Linked DNA regions of Oryzias latipes. The protein of the gene in region 1 interacts with the protein of each later gene in a biochemical or structural test. Links are inferred from orthologs where the notes say so. Each region holds a gene or a part of one and is shown in the gene's direction. Other genes may lie near its edges.

What was found. The genes of interacting proteins can lie anywhere in the genome.
Region 2: the proteins of rev3l (region 1) and mad2l1 form a complex in vitro, tested with the Homo sapiens proteins (2 studies listed by BioGRID). The link is inferred for Oryzias latipes from reciprocal best matches to the Homo sapiens genes REV3L and MAD2L1.

The regions. Positions count from the first base shown.
Region 1 is NC_019882.2:10,271,180-10,278,293, forward strand, and holds the end of rev3l (DNA polymerase zeta catalytic subunit), read left to right. Parts: intron 1-8; coding exon 9-253; intron 254-404; coding exon 405-513; intron 514-701; coding exon 702-908; intron 909-1,015; coding exon 1,016-1,125; intron 1,126-2,483; coding exon 2,484-2,598; intron 2,599-2,702; coding exon 2,703-2,840; intron 2,841-3,189; coding exon 3,190-3,380; intron 3,381-3,507; coding exon 3,508-3,754; intron 3,755-3,983; coding exon 3,984-4,282; intron 4,283-4,369; coding exon 4,370-4,496; coding exon of another isoform or gene 4,497-4,510; 3' UTR 4,511-4,959; downstream 4,960-7,114. UniProt on the Homo sapiens protein: Catalytic subunit of the DNA polymerase zeta complex, an error-prone polymerase specialized in translesion DNA synthesis (TLS). Lacks an intrinsic 3'-5' exonuclease activity and thus has no proofreading function.
Region 2 is NC_019876.2:30,700,701-30,709,065, reverse strand, and holds mad2l1 (mitotic spindle assembly checkpoint protein MAD2A), read left to right. Parts: upstream 1-4,171; 5' UTR 4,172-4,292; coding exon 4,293-4,356; intron 4,357-4,825; coding exon 4,826-4,972; intron 4,973-6,607; coding exon 6,608-6,728; intron 6,729-7,581; coding exon of another isoform or gene 7,582-7,584; coding exon 7,585-7,688; intron 7,689-7,765; coding exon 7,766-7,947; 3' UTR 7,948-8,157; downstream 8,158-8,365. UniProt on the Homo sapiens protein: Component of the spindle-assembly checkpoint that prevents the onset of anaphase until all chromosomes are properly aligned at the metaphase plate.

The DNA.
Region 1 (7,114 bases):
CCATTTAGTATCGCGTTGAGTCCATGATGCTCCGTGTGGCCAAACCTCTGAACTACATCCCTGTGACGCCCAGCGTACAGCAGCGAGCCCAGCAGAGGGCGCCGCAGTGCATCCCCCTGGTCATGGAGCCAGAGTCGCGCTTTTACAGCAACTCAGTGTTGGTCCTGGACTTCCAGTCTCTCTATCCGTCCATCGTCATTGCATACAACTACTGCTTCTCTACCTGCCTCGGTCACCAAGAGAGCCTGGGAACGTAAGGACTTCATCCGTCCACTCATGACGCCTTTACCAGGCAGAAGGCCGTTTTACTCAAGAATGACAGATTGATTATCAGATGATAATGAACCAATAATTGGTTTTATGCATTCTTCTCATTCAATAGGAACTGATCTTTTCTGTTTCAGACCCGATGAGTTTAAGTTCGGCTGCACGTCTTTGCGTGTTCCTCCTGAAATGCTTTACCAACTTCGCAACGACATCAATGTGTCTCCCAGTGGGATCGCCTTTGTTAAGGTATTGGACCTTCAGAACATTCATTCATGATCCTGACAGGTCACAAAGGCTCAGCGTGACTTCATAGCTGCTGCATTTTGGAGGTTCAGTCCGTGAACCTTTGGTTTGACTTGATCTTTAAGATCATCGAGTTGGGTTTTAAATGAGCAGGAGCTTAAACGGCGCTCCGCGTGTGTTTTTGCTTTCAGTCCACGGTGCGTAAAGGCGTCTTGCCCCGGATGCTAGAGGAGATCCTCAACACCAGAATCATGGTAAAGCAGTCCATGAAGACCTACAAGCAGGACAAAGCCCTGATGAAGCTGCTGGATGCCCGCCAGCTCGGACTCAAACTCATCGCCAACGTCACCTTCGGCTACACCTCCGCCAACTATTCTGGGCGCATGCCAAGCGTGGAGGTGAGCGCACCACCTTCTTTCTGGTATTTCCTGCTGCTCGGTCAAAGCGTCCAGTCTTGACCCGTTCACCTCTGCGTCCACACAAATGTGCCGTCTGTCTTCTACAGGTGGGAGACAGTATCGTCCACAAAGCCAGGGAGACGCTGGAGAGAGCCATCAAGCAGGTCAACGATACCAAGAAATGGGGAGCCAGAGTGGTGTATGGAGACACAGACAGGTGACTTATGGCACTGAATCTGATGTATGTGATGAGAAACATTCAGGTTTCCACAGGATTTGTAGCCAAACTGTTCTTATCGTCACTAAAGAAGCGGAACTTCCTGAAACAATCCATAGATTTCTTTTGGATCTGACATTTTTGGACTTTTGACTTGTTGGTTCTACAAGTTAGATGTTGAAATCATAAGAAACACAAATGGGAATTGTATTCAGGGCTACTTTTGAACCGTTGTGATTAAAAACTGTGGATTTTGGAGTGTAACCCAATAAGTCTTTGGGTGTTTTAGTGATCTGGAAAAGATTTTTGTGTTTTCTGCATACGAGAGACTGAACAAATCTGGAATTTTATGACGTGTTGAAGCCAGTTGTTTGCTTGTCTTTCATTGACTTCAAACCCATTTATTTTTTATAAAATGGGAAAATTGACCAAATTTGGGGTGTGTTCTGAAAGGTTAAGGGAACAAACCTCCAAGACTATTTTAGCATGTGTTAATCTAATCTCCGCGCCCCCACTTTAGAATCATTTGTATTCTAACTATAAAATTATGAGGCTCAAAATAATTCATTCCCAGAACAATCATTCCTGATTCAAATGTATCCACTGAAGGGAAAAGGGCGTTGGAACCAACATGACGGGTTAGATCCGTTTACATTGAAGTGAATAGAGACAGGCTTGATTTTCTATTATGCCATCTAGTGCTTAAACCATGAAGGACTTTGGCTCCACCTTCTTTGGGTTTTAAACCAGCCTCAAGGCTCAAGGAGGAGATGAAGTTGTTATTTACTAGGAGATCTTCTTTTGCTTCATCATGACCTTTACTGTGGTCTTCATGAACCCCAAACCTGATAAAGGATCATCCTACAGGTTCTGAAGATGTTTCACCTGGAATTCTGAGTGGGGTCTATAAATCTGAGGTTCAGTTGGAGGTCAGAGACGAATGAATGGCGTCGTTTGTGTCACAGTGATGCCAATGCAGAGCTGTGCAGAAGCAGAACGCTTTGCAAAGGGGCATCTTCAAAGATAGGGATGGTACCAGGATTTGGGAGTCTTCTACAGTAATTAGGACTGAGGCAAGAGCTGAGCTGAAAGGCAAACCTGTTGATCTTTGTTCCAACCTTTGAACAATTGACAGATCAACATGGAGAATTTTAGCCTCAGATGAGTTCACTTCCTTGGAGAGGACCTCCTCCTCACTGGCAGAAGTCCGATTGAAGCTTGTAATAATCGTCTTCACACCTTTAATTTTCTGTTTCATTGACTTGTGTGTTGATTAGTTGCTGGATGGAAGTAACTGGATCTCTTGTCTCTGATGAGAAACCGTTTGTGTAACGACACTCCTGTTGTGTTTCTGCCAGCATGTTTGTTCTACTGAAAGGAGCCACCAAAGAGCAGGCCTTCAGGATCGGGAATGAGATCGCCGAAGCCGTCACTGCCACCAACCCCAAACCGGTCAAGCTAAAGTTTGAGAAGGTAACAGTCTTCTAGGAGCTGACGCCGCTCCTTCAGGAGGACGCCTCCACGTTTTTATGTTTTTGGTTCCTGCTTGGCGTGATCCTAAAACCCTCATTCTTCAGGTGTACCTGCCGTGCGTGCTGCAGACCAAGAAGAGGTACGTGGGCTACATGTACGAGAGCCTGGACCAGAAGGAGCCGGTGTTTGACGCCAAGGGGATCGAAACCGTTCGGCGTGACGGTTGCCCCGCTGTTTCCAAGGTAACCGGCTCCTTCTGCCTCCATCTTAATTGTGCTGTCAGGCTTCTGCACACACCTGTCGGTTCTCATTCAACACAGAGTCTTTGAACTGGTTCCTTTGGTTTAGTATGTAGTTTTCTAGCTGTGGGGCTGAGATTCCTCCCAGGTGTTCCCACCTTTGACGTCAAAGTCCCCATTTTGATTCAGGGACACAACATAGTGATTCTTCCTCTCTACTAATATCTGACCTAGACTAAACCAAAAACTAGATTTTTCTAAAGTTTAGGAAAGAGCAACGTGGATCAACACAGATTATAGATTCTCCATTATTTAGTCACTCTACAAAGGGTTGTATGTTTGTCGATTTCAGATCCTAGAGCGATCTATTAAGCTGCTGTTTGAGACCCGGGACATCAGCCAGGTCAAGCAGTTCGTGCAGTGTCAGTGTCTGAAGGTTCTGGACGGCCGGGCCAGCATGCAGGACCTGACCTTCGCCAAGGAGTACCGGGGCAGCGGCTCCTACCGGCCGGGAGCTTGCGTCCCGGCGCTGGAGCTCACCAGGTGTGTCGCGCAGTGAAGAATCTGACATGGGTGCGGTTCTGCTGGTCCATCTGTTCAGCAGAACCAGAGAAGCCCATGTCCATCATCAGGGAACCAGCAGCAGAACTCAACGCTTGTCTCTCCTCAGACGGATGCTGTCCTACGACCGGCGTTTGGAGCCGCGTGTGGGCGAGCGTGTGCCGTACGTGGTGGTGTATGGGACTCCTGGCGTCCCCCTCATCCAGCTGGTGCGCCGCCCCCTGGACGTGCTCCAGGATCCAACCCTGCGCCTCAACGCCACTTACTACATCACCAAACAGATTCTGCCGCCGCTTGCCCGCATGTTCCAGCTGATAGGGGTGGACGTGTTCAGCTGGTACCAGGAGCTGCCCCGGGTGAGGAGCCAGCAGGACACGGGGGGGCTTTTGAGCTTTCCTTTAAGAAGCATTGAAGGATGGAGAAGCAGATCTCTGGGACACTGCTGCCCCCTGCTGGCAGAGCTTCCTAACGCACTGCAGCAGTTCCTCTTTCTAACTGTACTACATCATAGACCGATGAATATAAACATCTTCCTCTGATGGGTTGTGGCATGACTGAATGGCTGTTTGCTCCACCCATCCGCAGGTCCAGAAGGCGTCATGCTCGGCGGCGGCAGCAGGAGACGAGGTGGGCAGGAAGGGAACCATCTCCCAGTATTTCACCACGCTGCACTGTCCCGTGTGCGACGAGCTGACTCAGCTGGGAGTGTGCTCGCAGTGCCGGGCCGAACCGCAGCGGGTCGCCGTCACTCTGTACCAGGACATGAGGCAGTGGGAGAGCCAGCAGGAGCAGCTGCTGAAGGTGAGGACGCTCTCAGGAGCTCTGGACTGTGAGACGCCGAAGGTTTGCTCTTTTGAGCTGCACTTAATGAAGAAGATGCGAAGGTTTCATGTCGGTTTTCCTTTTTCCCCCTCTAAAAAATGAAATGAAACCAAACACTAGATTGTCCTGACAGACCTGTTTGTGCTCAGATCTGCAGGAGCTGCAGCGGTGGCACTGAGCGGCAGGTTCCCTGCATCTCCCTGGACTGTCCCGTTCTCTACAAGCTGTCTCGGGTCAACAGGCAGATTTCTAAGGCGCCCTACCTCCGACAGCTGATGGAGCAGTTCTGATGAGCCCCTGAAAGCCAGCTAACTGGTGCTAATGGCCTCCCCTACTCTCTGGTTTTTAACCAGGAGTCTGTGCTCCTCAGGGGGTTCTTTACAGATCAGCCTGATAGTTGTGAACACAGGCTGATGTTTAATGCATTCTGTTCAAAGGGTGCCCTTTTCCTCTAACTTTCATGGAGCTGATGATTGTCCAGAATCATCCGTTTGTTTTATAACTGTGGGACTGTTGCAATACTCTTAATAATTTATTCTACGCAGAGTCCGTTATTTCATTGTGGTTTAGTATCTAACTGTTCTGAAAGCAGGCGGAGACGGAACCCTCAGCTCCTCTCAGATGTGCGCAGCATGTGTGTGTTTGTATAAATGTACAAATTCAAGTGTTTTTGGTGGTTTTTAATGGATGATGCTGTGGGTGAAGGTGTCAGACTGAAAATAAAAATGTCAAGTATTCAGTTGTTTCCCTTATTCAAAGTCTAACTGCATGGTAATAACCCTTGTGCTATCCTAGGCACTTTAACATTGGGAGTTGGGTCATCTAGACCCACTAGACAGTGCTCTGAACCTTTTTTCTTCAATGATTTGTGATCTTCACTGGTGTCCATGGATTACATGAAATCCTTCCACCTTTATCCACCTTTGTCATGGTAGGGAGAACACGTCAATGTAAGGGTGGGGTCATCTAAGATAGCACAAGGGTTAAAACCCTTGTGCTATCTTAGATGACCCCACTCATGTAATCCATGAGTACAACTAATCACTTAAAATAAAGTAAAAGCGTTTATGGACCCTCTGGCTTGCCATATCTGAACACACAACAGCAGATTTATCATCTGACAATCAACCATTAGGACATTACACAACAGTTTGCCCGTGTGTCCTTCAAAAACCTTTGGCTCTAGTTGGGGTTCCACTCAGTGTCAGGACATCAGGGGGGGCCGGCTCCAGGCCTGGAGGGCCTTCATCTGGATGGTTTTCAGAAACCCCTCAAGGAGGACACCGTCTTTTCTCTGTCCAAGGAGCGCAGCAGTTTGTGTCTCCGCCTACAGAACAGCCCTCTGAGGACAGCACTTCGCCTCCACCCGTGTCAGCGGGAGGTGATGCGTCATCTATATCGATGACCTCAAAGTCAGCATCATTCCATTGGTCAGCTTCATCCTCCTGTTCCTCCTCCTCCCGAGTCTATCAGCGCCTGTGTACTGTAGAAATGTATGTTTTTGTATCTTATACTTTATTAGATTGCAGCTTAATCTTAAGTGTGAAGTGAACTCATTTTGAACTCTCAAGACTTATTCTCCTGTGAAATTTCTTTTTTCTTTATGACTTCAGCGGCAAACTTTTCTCCTGCACACCCCTGTGAAAGAAATAGAATGTTCTTTGTGCAAATCTAGGAGTTTTGCAAAGACCCCATAAATATGCCATGGACTGCATTTCTACCATCTGGGTTGAAGGTCTTATCCCTGGGAAAGTGTTCAGATTCGTGTTCTCATGTGGAGGTTGGAGCTAACCTCTGCCCTAATGTCTGTGATGGAGTCTTCGGTTATCTGGGAAGGATTTATTAGGCCCTAATAGGGAATCTTTTCATGGGTGCACCGGGTGCACCTTCCTATCTGGTCCGACGACAGAGAGGAGCAAATCCAGAGGCTGCTATTCCATCTATTGGCCGGTGAGAGCAGGCGGGCTATATGACGAATCAGAGCAACCAGGGGCGGAGATTCGGCCGCCACGATGTTTCCTGAAGGAGGAGTTTCAACACACATGTTAAAAGGACTATTTTGGAAGTATTCTATTGTTCTCAAGAACACCTACGAGTAATTCGCATGTAACTTATGCGTCTGTAGGCCTTTTAACTTGAGAATCCAGATATCTGCAACAATGTGTTTTAATCTGTGTTAGAACTATTTGTTATGGCAATAAACTTTGTGTATTTTTAATCCGGTTGAATCCGTGGTCTGTTTTACCTCTCCCGACAATTGAACACGCATGGATGGAAAGATCTGAAAAGCGGAAAGATTCTTTCCTACAATTTTGGTGACCCCGACGTGATGTCAGGGAGCGGAACCGAATGGAACCGAACGCGGATCGAACGGACCGGATTATAGTGACGTATTTTATGAGATTCCTGAGACTTTCGGCGTAAAGTCAGGGGACCGCCCAGTAGCGGTTCTAGGCACGGGCCGTCCGGGCGGTGGCCTGGGGCGGAAAACTGAAGGGGGGCGGCACCGGCGGCTCAGCCCTTGTAAAATATTATATGCACCACTATTGGTTAACTTATGTCACAGTTTGTGAGTTTGTAACAGCCTGAACCTGGCCGCGCCGCCGCCCTCGCCCCGCAGCTGTGCGCTCTCCTGTCTTTGAGAAGTAGACACAAATGTGTGTGAAGAAGAAGGGAGGGGGCGCGGGGGGAGCACGGAGCACCACCGCGTTTGCGCATGCGCAAAACCTGGCGGGCTCATCTTTCAGGGGAGGCGACGGTCGCGGGCTTGATGAAAAAAATAAAAGTAAAAACTGCGACTGCGCCGTCATGTAGCGAATCAGCGCCCCTGGCTATAGCTGCACGCGCTCCTGCTGGAAATGTGTGAAGAAAGGGGGGGGGGGCTGCGGGGAATC
Region 2 (8,365 bases), on another chromosome or scaffold:
ACACCAAGCTGCTCACCTGTTGCAGATTCAGTCTTCCAGCCTGGTACAGGTTTGGTTTCTGGTGTCCTTAGACAGCTCTTTGGTCTCCATAGTGGAGTTTGAAGTGTGACTGTGTGAGGTTGTGGACAGGTGCCTTTCTATAGATAACCAGTTTAAACAGGTGTAACTAATACAGTTAACCAGTGGAGGACAGAGGATCCTCTACAGAAGTAGTTACAGGTCTGAGAGACAGAAATCTTGATTGTTTGTCAGTGACCAAAGACTTATTTTCCACCATAATTTACACAAATAATTAATAATAAATAAACTAAATATATAAATTATTAAAAAGATCGGACGATGTGATTTTCTGGATTTTTTTCACATTTTGACCTTAATAAAAAAATAAAGGCCAATAGCGGCAGTCCTCTGTGACACATGGCCGCTGTGACAGTGCATCAGTGTTCTGGTGCCGTGCCACTGGCCTGACTTGGCCTGTGGCTCCTCAATCCAGCGCGCCAGCTGGCCCTCCGGCTCCTTAAAAGACATCAGCCACTGTAGGGCAGCCTGATCAGTCCTGACCGTGAAATGAAGACCCCCCAGGTAATATCTGAAGTGTCTAATGGCACTGACCACAGCGAGGAGTTCCATTCGGGTGGAGCACTAGCCTTGCTCAACTTTGTTAAAGGTCCAGCTGTAGTATGCAACCACTCTGTCCCCCACAGGTCTTACCTGGGACAGAACTGCACCACAGCCCACATTGCTGGCATCCGTGTCCAGTAGAAAGGGCAGAACAGGGTCAGGTGGAAACAGACCAGGTGCTTACCGCTGCCATCTTTTCTGTGTCTATAGGTGTTTTATTCACAGATGGTTTGGGTGGCTCATCTGGATATACATAACAGACAGAGCTCTTCTTTTTTCTTGAATCAGACTTGGTTTTGTCAGTCATGGACAGGGTGTGAACTACATGGGACCCCGATCTAGAGGAAATTTGGTCATCTGGATAACATGTCCATCAGAAAATGTAAGGGTTCCTCTCTTGGTATCAATAACACAACCTTGGGCCCGCAAAAAAAAATCAAGGCCTGGTAAGCATTCTTCCAAGTCAGCAATCCACACAGGCCAATTCACTTGCTGGTTTCCCACCTCCAGAGTCACAACAGCCTCCCCCTGCATGAAAGTCCGTTCTCCAGTAACAGTCTGTAATGTTACAGCGTTAGGAAGGATGGCTGCATTATTCCTCACCACTGCAGGGCAGTGTTGCAGATGAACCTGTGTCCACTAAAGCTAAGCATGACGCTGCATCAACACTCATAGTTGTGAACCAGCAGTCACCAACCCAGGTTCGGCCCAAAGTCATTAGTCTCTCAGATGGGACTTCTTTGACCCCCACATGGCCAGCATTCCATTTCTGTGGGTCCAATCGGGATGGTTTTTCAGGGGGCCACATTGTCCCGCTTATGCGGTCCCGTTCCTGTTTCCTTGGTTGTCCGGGCAGTCACGAATCAAGTGCCCAGGTTTCCCACAACCCCAGGAGGTCCTGGGTCAGCTCCAGTCTCTTTGGGGGCGGACCTTGGATGCCTGTTCGTTTCTCAGGGTCACAGCTTTTACTAGCTGGGTCAGCTCCTCTGCCCGTGCAGGCCCCTTGGTGTCAGGCTCTGATACACTTGCAGCTCTAACCTTTGGAGGGGCCTCAAGCTCCACCCTGGAGGAGGGCCTCCACAGCATTTTTCTCTCTGTGGCCAGCTCCAGGGCCTCCTGCAGTAACTTACGGTGCGCTGGTTGGGTTTGAACGCGAAGGTCGTCTGGTCCCGGGCTAGCTCTTCCTGAATGGCTGGGGGCATGTGAGCATAAATCTGGTTAACTAATCTGTCGATGTCAACAGCCAGAACTCTTAATTGCTCGCCTTGGCCGAAAGAGCTGCCCCGGTAATGCAATTGTAGCGTCCCTTTCCCACACACTGAGGCACGGAGACTTAATCTCTTAACCCTTGTGCTATTTTAGATGACCCCCCCCTTCCATTGAGGTGTTCTCCCTACCATGACAAAGGGGGATAAAGGTGGAAAGATTTCATGTAATCCATGGACACCAGTGAAGATCACAAATCATTGAAGAACAAAGGTTCAGAGCACTGTCTAGTGGGTCTAGATGACCCAACTCCCAACGTTAAAGTGCCTAGGATAGCACAAGGGTTAAGGTTATTTATTCTGGTTACTGTAGGCTGTAACCAATGCTGCACAACTTGCCCAGAAACTCTTGTATCCTCCCGCTGAGAGCACTCCCCCAAACTTTATTCCCTTGCTCCTGCATCAGCCCCATTTCCTTATTCGGGCCATAGCTGAACCCTATTGGACCAAACTCCCCAACTACAGGTTGAGCGACAGAACTGAGAGCCAATCAGCATTTCTGCTTGATGCGTTCAATGAACACCGGAACTTAGAACGCGACCCCACAGCCACCCAGTACACTGTGTTACATAATTTTTCACCACACTGGTTTAAAAAAATAAAAGACCCTTTTGGGTTATGACAGGTTCTTAAAAAATATTTTCCAATAACAAGCAAAAAGAATTGAAAATTGTAATGAAAGCTCTTCCCTCAGGATTATTTCAACTAATGACCTCTCCCCGTAACCCTTGTGCTATCTTAGGCACTTTACCGTTGGGAGTTGGGTCATCTAGACCCACTAGACAGTGCTCTGAACCTTTTTTCTTCAATGATTTGTGATCTTCACTGGTGTCCATGGATTACATAGCGCACCTCACTCCACTCCGTGCTGAAAACAAATCCACACACACACACAAGAAAAACGTGCCAAAGAAACTTCCACTACACACTAAAAAGGAAATAAATACAGTGAGGAAGACGCTGCCACAAGGGGCCCCTTCACCAACACCACACGCACTGGCGCCCGACTCACACCTATGCAACAATAAAAAGGAATCAGAGTCAACAACACAATAAATACAGCACCACTCTAAAACACATTAAAATGTATAATAAGGGTGGGTAAAGAACACGCAGTGGCTCATGACATCTGCAACACGTCCAGCCGCTAACAGAATCTAGTTAAAAGAGCAGAATAAAAATGAGTAACCGGTGATCTACATTCTCCGACAAGAGGAGCTTCAGCCATACATACCACCATGCAGGCAGGCAGCCACTGTCTGTCAACTCACTCCCTGTTCCTTATAAAGAAGCAGAACAGCTGAACTACATCCCCAATCAAGCAGGCATGCACCTGTCACAGGCCGACCTGCCGGTTACTCAAGGGTGGGGACATAAGATAGCACAAGGGTTAAATATCACAAGGCATCTAAAAATAGACCCTCTATTGACAATTAATGATATTGATATTTTCAATAAAAAATGCTACAACAAACATATATTTACTACTTTATATGAAAAAAGAAGCATAACACCTAAAGGAGAAATTTATTGGAATAATATTTTAACTATCATTTGGACAAAAGCATAGTTACTGCCAGAAACATTTGGCATAAATAACAAAATTAAAGAAATACACAAATGAATTCTACATAACATTTACCCCACACTATGTTCATATTCAAATTCTCAAATATAGGAAATAACTGTAGCTTTTGTAATGATTTCCCAAAATCAGTTCTTCGCCTTTTCTGCCATTGTCAATTCTCCCTTAAATTCTGGATCCAATTGAAAAGATTTATAAGCATGAACAGTACTATTATTATATATTTCAAACACATTCTTACATATTTTAACTCGCAGGATCAATTGGTAGGAAATAGTATTGATTTGTTACTACTTCTATTTAAATAAGTGCTGAGTAAAAAAAACCAAAAAAACAATTTTACAGGATTTTTGATAGAGATTATCAATTTTACTAATATCTTCAAAAGATTATTACATTCAAGGCATAACACTGAAACAATATGAGCTTTTTTGCTTGATGAATAGTTCCCTCTACTGAGAAATACTTTAATATATTTTTATTTATTTTTGTTTTTAAATTTTCCTTTTTGCTAACGATGTCCCTGTTAATTTTATTTACATACTATAATTTATTCTTTATTTTTTAAGATAACATTGATTTTTGCCATCTGACGGTAAACTTGCCGATGTGATGTTTACTGTTGTATAAATAAAGTTTCAAAAAAAGAAAAAAGTCATTTTCTCCTGTCTAGGGTTGACCACGTGGGGAGGTCTGTCTTTTTTGCGCATGCGTAGAGGTTGTCACTGATTTTTCAAATCGGACGGCGGGTACCAGTTTCAGCCTTCAGTGCAGCAAGAAGCCCGACGTTTCTTTTCAACGGTTGATTGTCATTTCATGAAATGACGAGTACTTTAAAAGGAATCACCCTTAAAGGAAGCGCGGAGCTGGTGGCCGAGTTTTTCTGTATGTTTCAACATTTGTTTCTGTACTAGCCGGGCTTTTCAACGGCTCTTCCTCATTTGTTGTGTGCTAGCGGGCGGTCGGGCCCGCGTGCTCGGTTGTTGTGTGTAGCCAGCGAGTGTATTTACGGCGGCTCCAGACCGAAGGCAGAGCCCTAAACCGTCGCAGCATTTTAAAAGCCTTCCTTCTGAAGCCAACTTCTTAAAGATCGAATGGCTGCTTCTGGTCGATGTGTAGGTTAATGGCGGCTTTCTAACACCGCCCACCGCCAGGTGTGCTGGTAAAGAAGCCGAGCGTCACCAGAGTTAAAGTAGGAATGCTAGATTTCGGGTTGAACAGACACAAACTACTTATCATCGGCTGAGTAACTAACGTAGAGTAGTGTGGACGAAAAGAGTGTTCTCAGTCTTTGACCTGAATTAACGTCACAACCCCCCCCCCGCTAATAACAGCCCCGTGATCCTCCCCACAGCCTTCGGCATCAACAGCATCCTGTACCAGCGGGGCATTTACCCCCCAGAGACGTTCACCAGGGTCACTCACTATGACATGAGCCTCCAGGTCTCCACGGAGCCCAGGCTGAACAACTACCTGACCAACGTGGTGTCTCAACTCAAAGGTAGTTTGTCCTTTCTTTGTCCTAAAGCAGGCCGTGTCTGTTAGGACTTTATTTTTCTATTTCTTAACATGGAGGCAATGATCAAGATGCAATTCCTGTCTGTCAGCGTCCAGCAAAGGCTTATTGAAGACAAGAGGCGTGGGATATTGTTTCTCTTTACAGATTTATGGGATATGGAGGTGGATGTTGGGATGATTGACACCTCATGTTGTTTCCACGTGTCGATGTGCCTAAATAGTGATGTTTTCCTGCCCAAAAGTCCTCTAAAAGCCCAAAGAGTTCATCATAATTTAGGGTCAGACGCAACATTGAAGAATTTACACAGATTTCTCAAAGTCATTACAGAAATGATGAAATGCATAGATTAAAACCGTAAGTCACATTTGCTTGATTGAATGAGACACAAACTTGTCTTTGTGGTTCTTGTCAGTTTGGTCTTGAAGTTCCTGCATCCCCTCACTTTGTTCCTCCTTCATTTTCTAAGAACTCTTTTGTGTTGTTTGGTATTGAATGGTAACGATTTCCCACTGGCTCTGAATAGAAGTTAAAACACAACAAGATCATACAGTTTTAGAAGTCTGGATTGATCAAATTGTTTGTATGATCAGGATATCCGGCTTTATGTTCAGTTCTGACGGCTCATTTTTGAAGTAAACAGAGGATGTAGTGAACTCTTAGAATCAGTCCCCCAAATTTCTACACAGTCGGTCAAATATGGTAAAATTAAGGAGCAGTGTAATAAATATCTACTGTCGTATTTTAATATGTTTAGATTTACTTATGATGGAAATACTTTTGGAGACTTTATTTTGTGTGTGTCTGATGTGAGGCTTTAACTTAGTTTGTCATCGATAAAAACGCCTGAGAATCTGAATTCTGTAACACTTTAAATTAAGACATTTATTTTAATTGAGACATCGGTATTGGTGTAGTAGTTAGCAAAATATGTCACACTAGTTTTATCTGGGTTAAAGGAGGATTTGTCGTCAGCCATGATTTTATTTTGTGTGACCCTTGTTCTATCCTAGGCACTTTAACGTTGGGAGTTGGGTCATCTAGACCCACTAGACAGTGCTCTGAACCTTTTTTCTTCAATGATTTGTGATCTTCACTGGTGTCCATGGATTCCATGACATCTTTCCACCTTTATCCACCTTTGTCATGGTAGGAATAACACATCCATGTAAGGGTGGGGTCATCTAAGACAGCACAAGGGTTAACTCTATGTTCACCACATTAAGTTCCCTATGATTGTTTGTAGAATGGAATAGAATAGATCTGTCATCAGCAAATAATGAGTTTTAATAGTTGTGAGACATTGAATATATCATTTATGTAAATACTGAATAGCAGCGGGCCCAGAATTGATCCTTGTGGGACACCACAAGCTATCTATCAAGAATCAGCAGAAAATTAGCATCCTGAAGACGTTTGTGTAGCTCGGTTCGTGTGTTGGTGGTGTTGAAACAGCAGGAATAGGTTTTTCTTGTGTCATGTTAGAACAGGCTTGTTTTCCAGATGGACACACCTGGTCCAGGTAAAACGGGACGGTGATCTGCAAATCTCTGAGCCTGGACTTACCTGGTCTGCGTGTTAGGCCTTAAAGCAGGCGTGTAACGCGGGTTTGGGTTTCAGAATGGCTGTTTGAGTGCAGCGTGCAGAAGCTGGTGCTGGTCATCACCTGCCTGGAGACCAACGAGGTGCTGGAGCGATGGCAGTTTGACATCGAGTGTGACAAGTCGGCCAAAGAGAGCAGGTGAGCCCGCTCTCCAGTTCCAAATGTCTCAAGAGGAAAGGAGCTTCTCCAGGGGCTGGCTATCCCACCACCGCTAGCGTGATCCGCGGCGCGCTGTGGCGTGGACGAGAAGCGCATTTCTTCACATAGGCGTGTTCTGAAGCAGAGTTTACATTTAAATGTAGGTCAAGGCTAGAAAACCCATGTTGTGTGTTTCTCTAGCGCTGGCAGCTAAATGCTAACGTAGAAGATATGCAGCTATTGATGACGCCATCCAGGACTGGTAATGTTCAAATGTTTCCATAACTGCTGGAGGGGGGATGGGCAGGAGCTGGGAGGAATTGGGATTCGGTTTAAACCTTAAAAAAGGTTTTCTGTGGGGTTGGGACTCGGCATGTACTCCAAATCAGGTTCTCATTCTGAGGGAGCAAACGTTTCTGTGGTTTTTATTTCAGGCTGCTGCTCTGCCGTCCAAATAGCTACAATGACTGAGTTTATGGAGAAAAGTGTCTTCAAATCCGGACGTTACAACCGCTCCACAACGTCATGAATAGTAGTCGGTCTGCTGCGTTAGCGCTCAGAAAATACACATCATGGGTTTTATTTAAAAAGTCACGCATAAACAAAGTCATGACTTACATTTAAATGTAAACGTCTGTGCTTCAGCGCACACCCACGTGAGGAAATGCGTTTCTCCTCAACGCCACAGCGTGACGCGGATCGTCCTACCAGCAATCCACCACGGCTCCTCCTTTGAATCACTGTGGGACACCACTACAGCTCCAAAATGCCCCTTCAGCTGGAGCCAGAGGGGTAGGGGGGCAGTCCAGCCTTTGTTTCTGTGTGCTGACCTCTGACTCTGATCCTTTCAAAGCAGTGCTCCCAGAGAGAAGTCCATCAAGACCATTCAGGATGAGATCCGCTCCGTCATCAGACAGATCACGGCCACCGTCACCTTCCTGCCTCTGCTGGAGACGCAGTGTGAGTTCCCATAATCCATCTGTGACTCCTGCAGCTCCTCCCTGCTCGGCCGGCCCTCTGATTAGTTGTTCTTGCAGGCTCCTTTGACCTCCTGGTGTATACGGACAAAGACTTGGTGGTTCCTGACAAGTGGGAAGAGTCGGGGCCTCAGATAATCGACCAATCAGAGGAGGTGCGCTTGCGCTCCTTCACCACCTCTATCCACAAAGTGAGCAGCATGGTGGCGTACAAAAGGACCGACTCGGCTTGCAGCACCTGAGCTGCAGACGTTTACTCTGAGCTCATGAGGAACTCCTGCTTTCCTGGACTGGACTTTCTTCTTTGTTGGAGGATGAGGCGAACCTGTGCTCAGTGAGATCTGATGGAACTTTTTGTTAGTTTGTCTGTCCGATCTGTGTTTTCCTGATCTTTCTCCCCCTCAGAAGATGCTTTCGTTTTTTTACATCATTAAATTCTTTTCTCAGTGTGATTTGTGTTTTGTGCGGGGAGCATTTTTGATGCAACTCCCAGCATTCAGTGGGGGTGTAGATTTACGCGATGCATTGAGGGAATTTACAGCGGGAAAGAATCAGGTTCATGAGTGCTGCACCGTGGTCGTCCTGATCATGAGCTGGAGACGGGCGGGCCTGGCAGAACCGTAGGGTTCCTCACTGTACTGGGGGGGTCCGTCTGCTGAG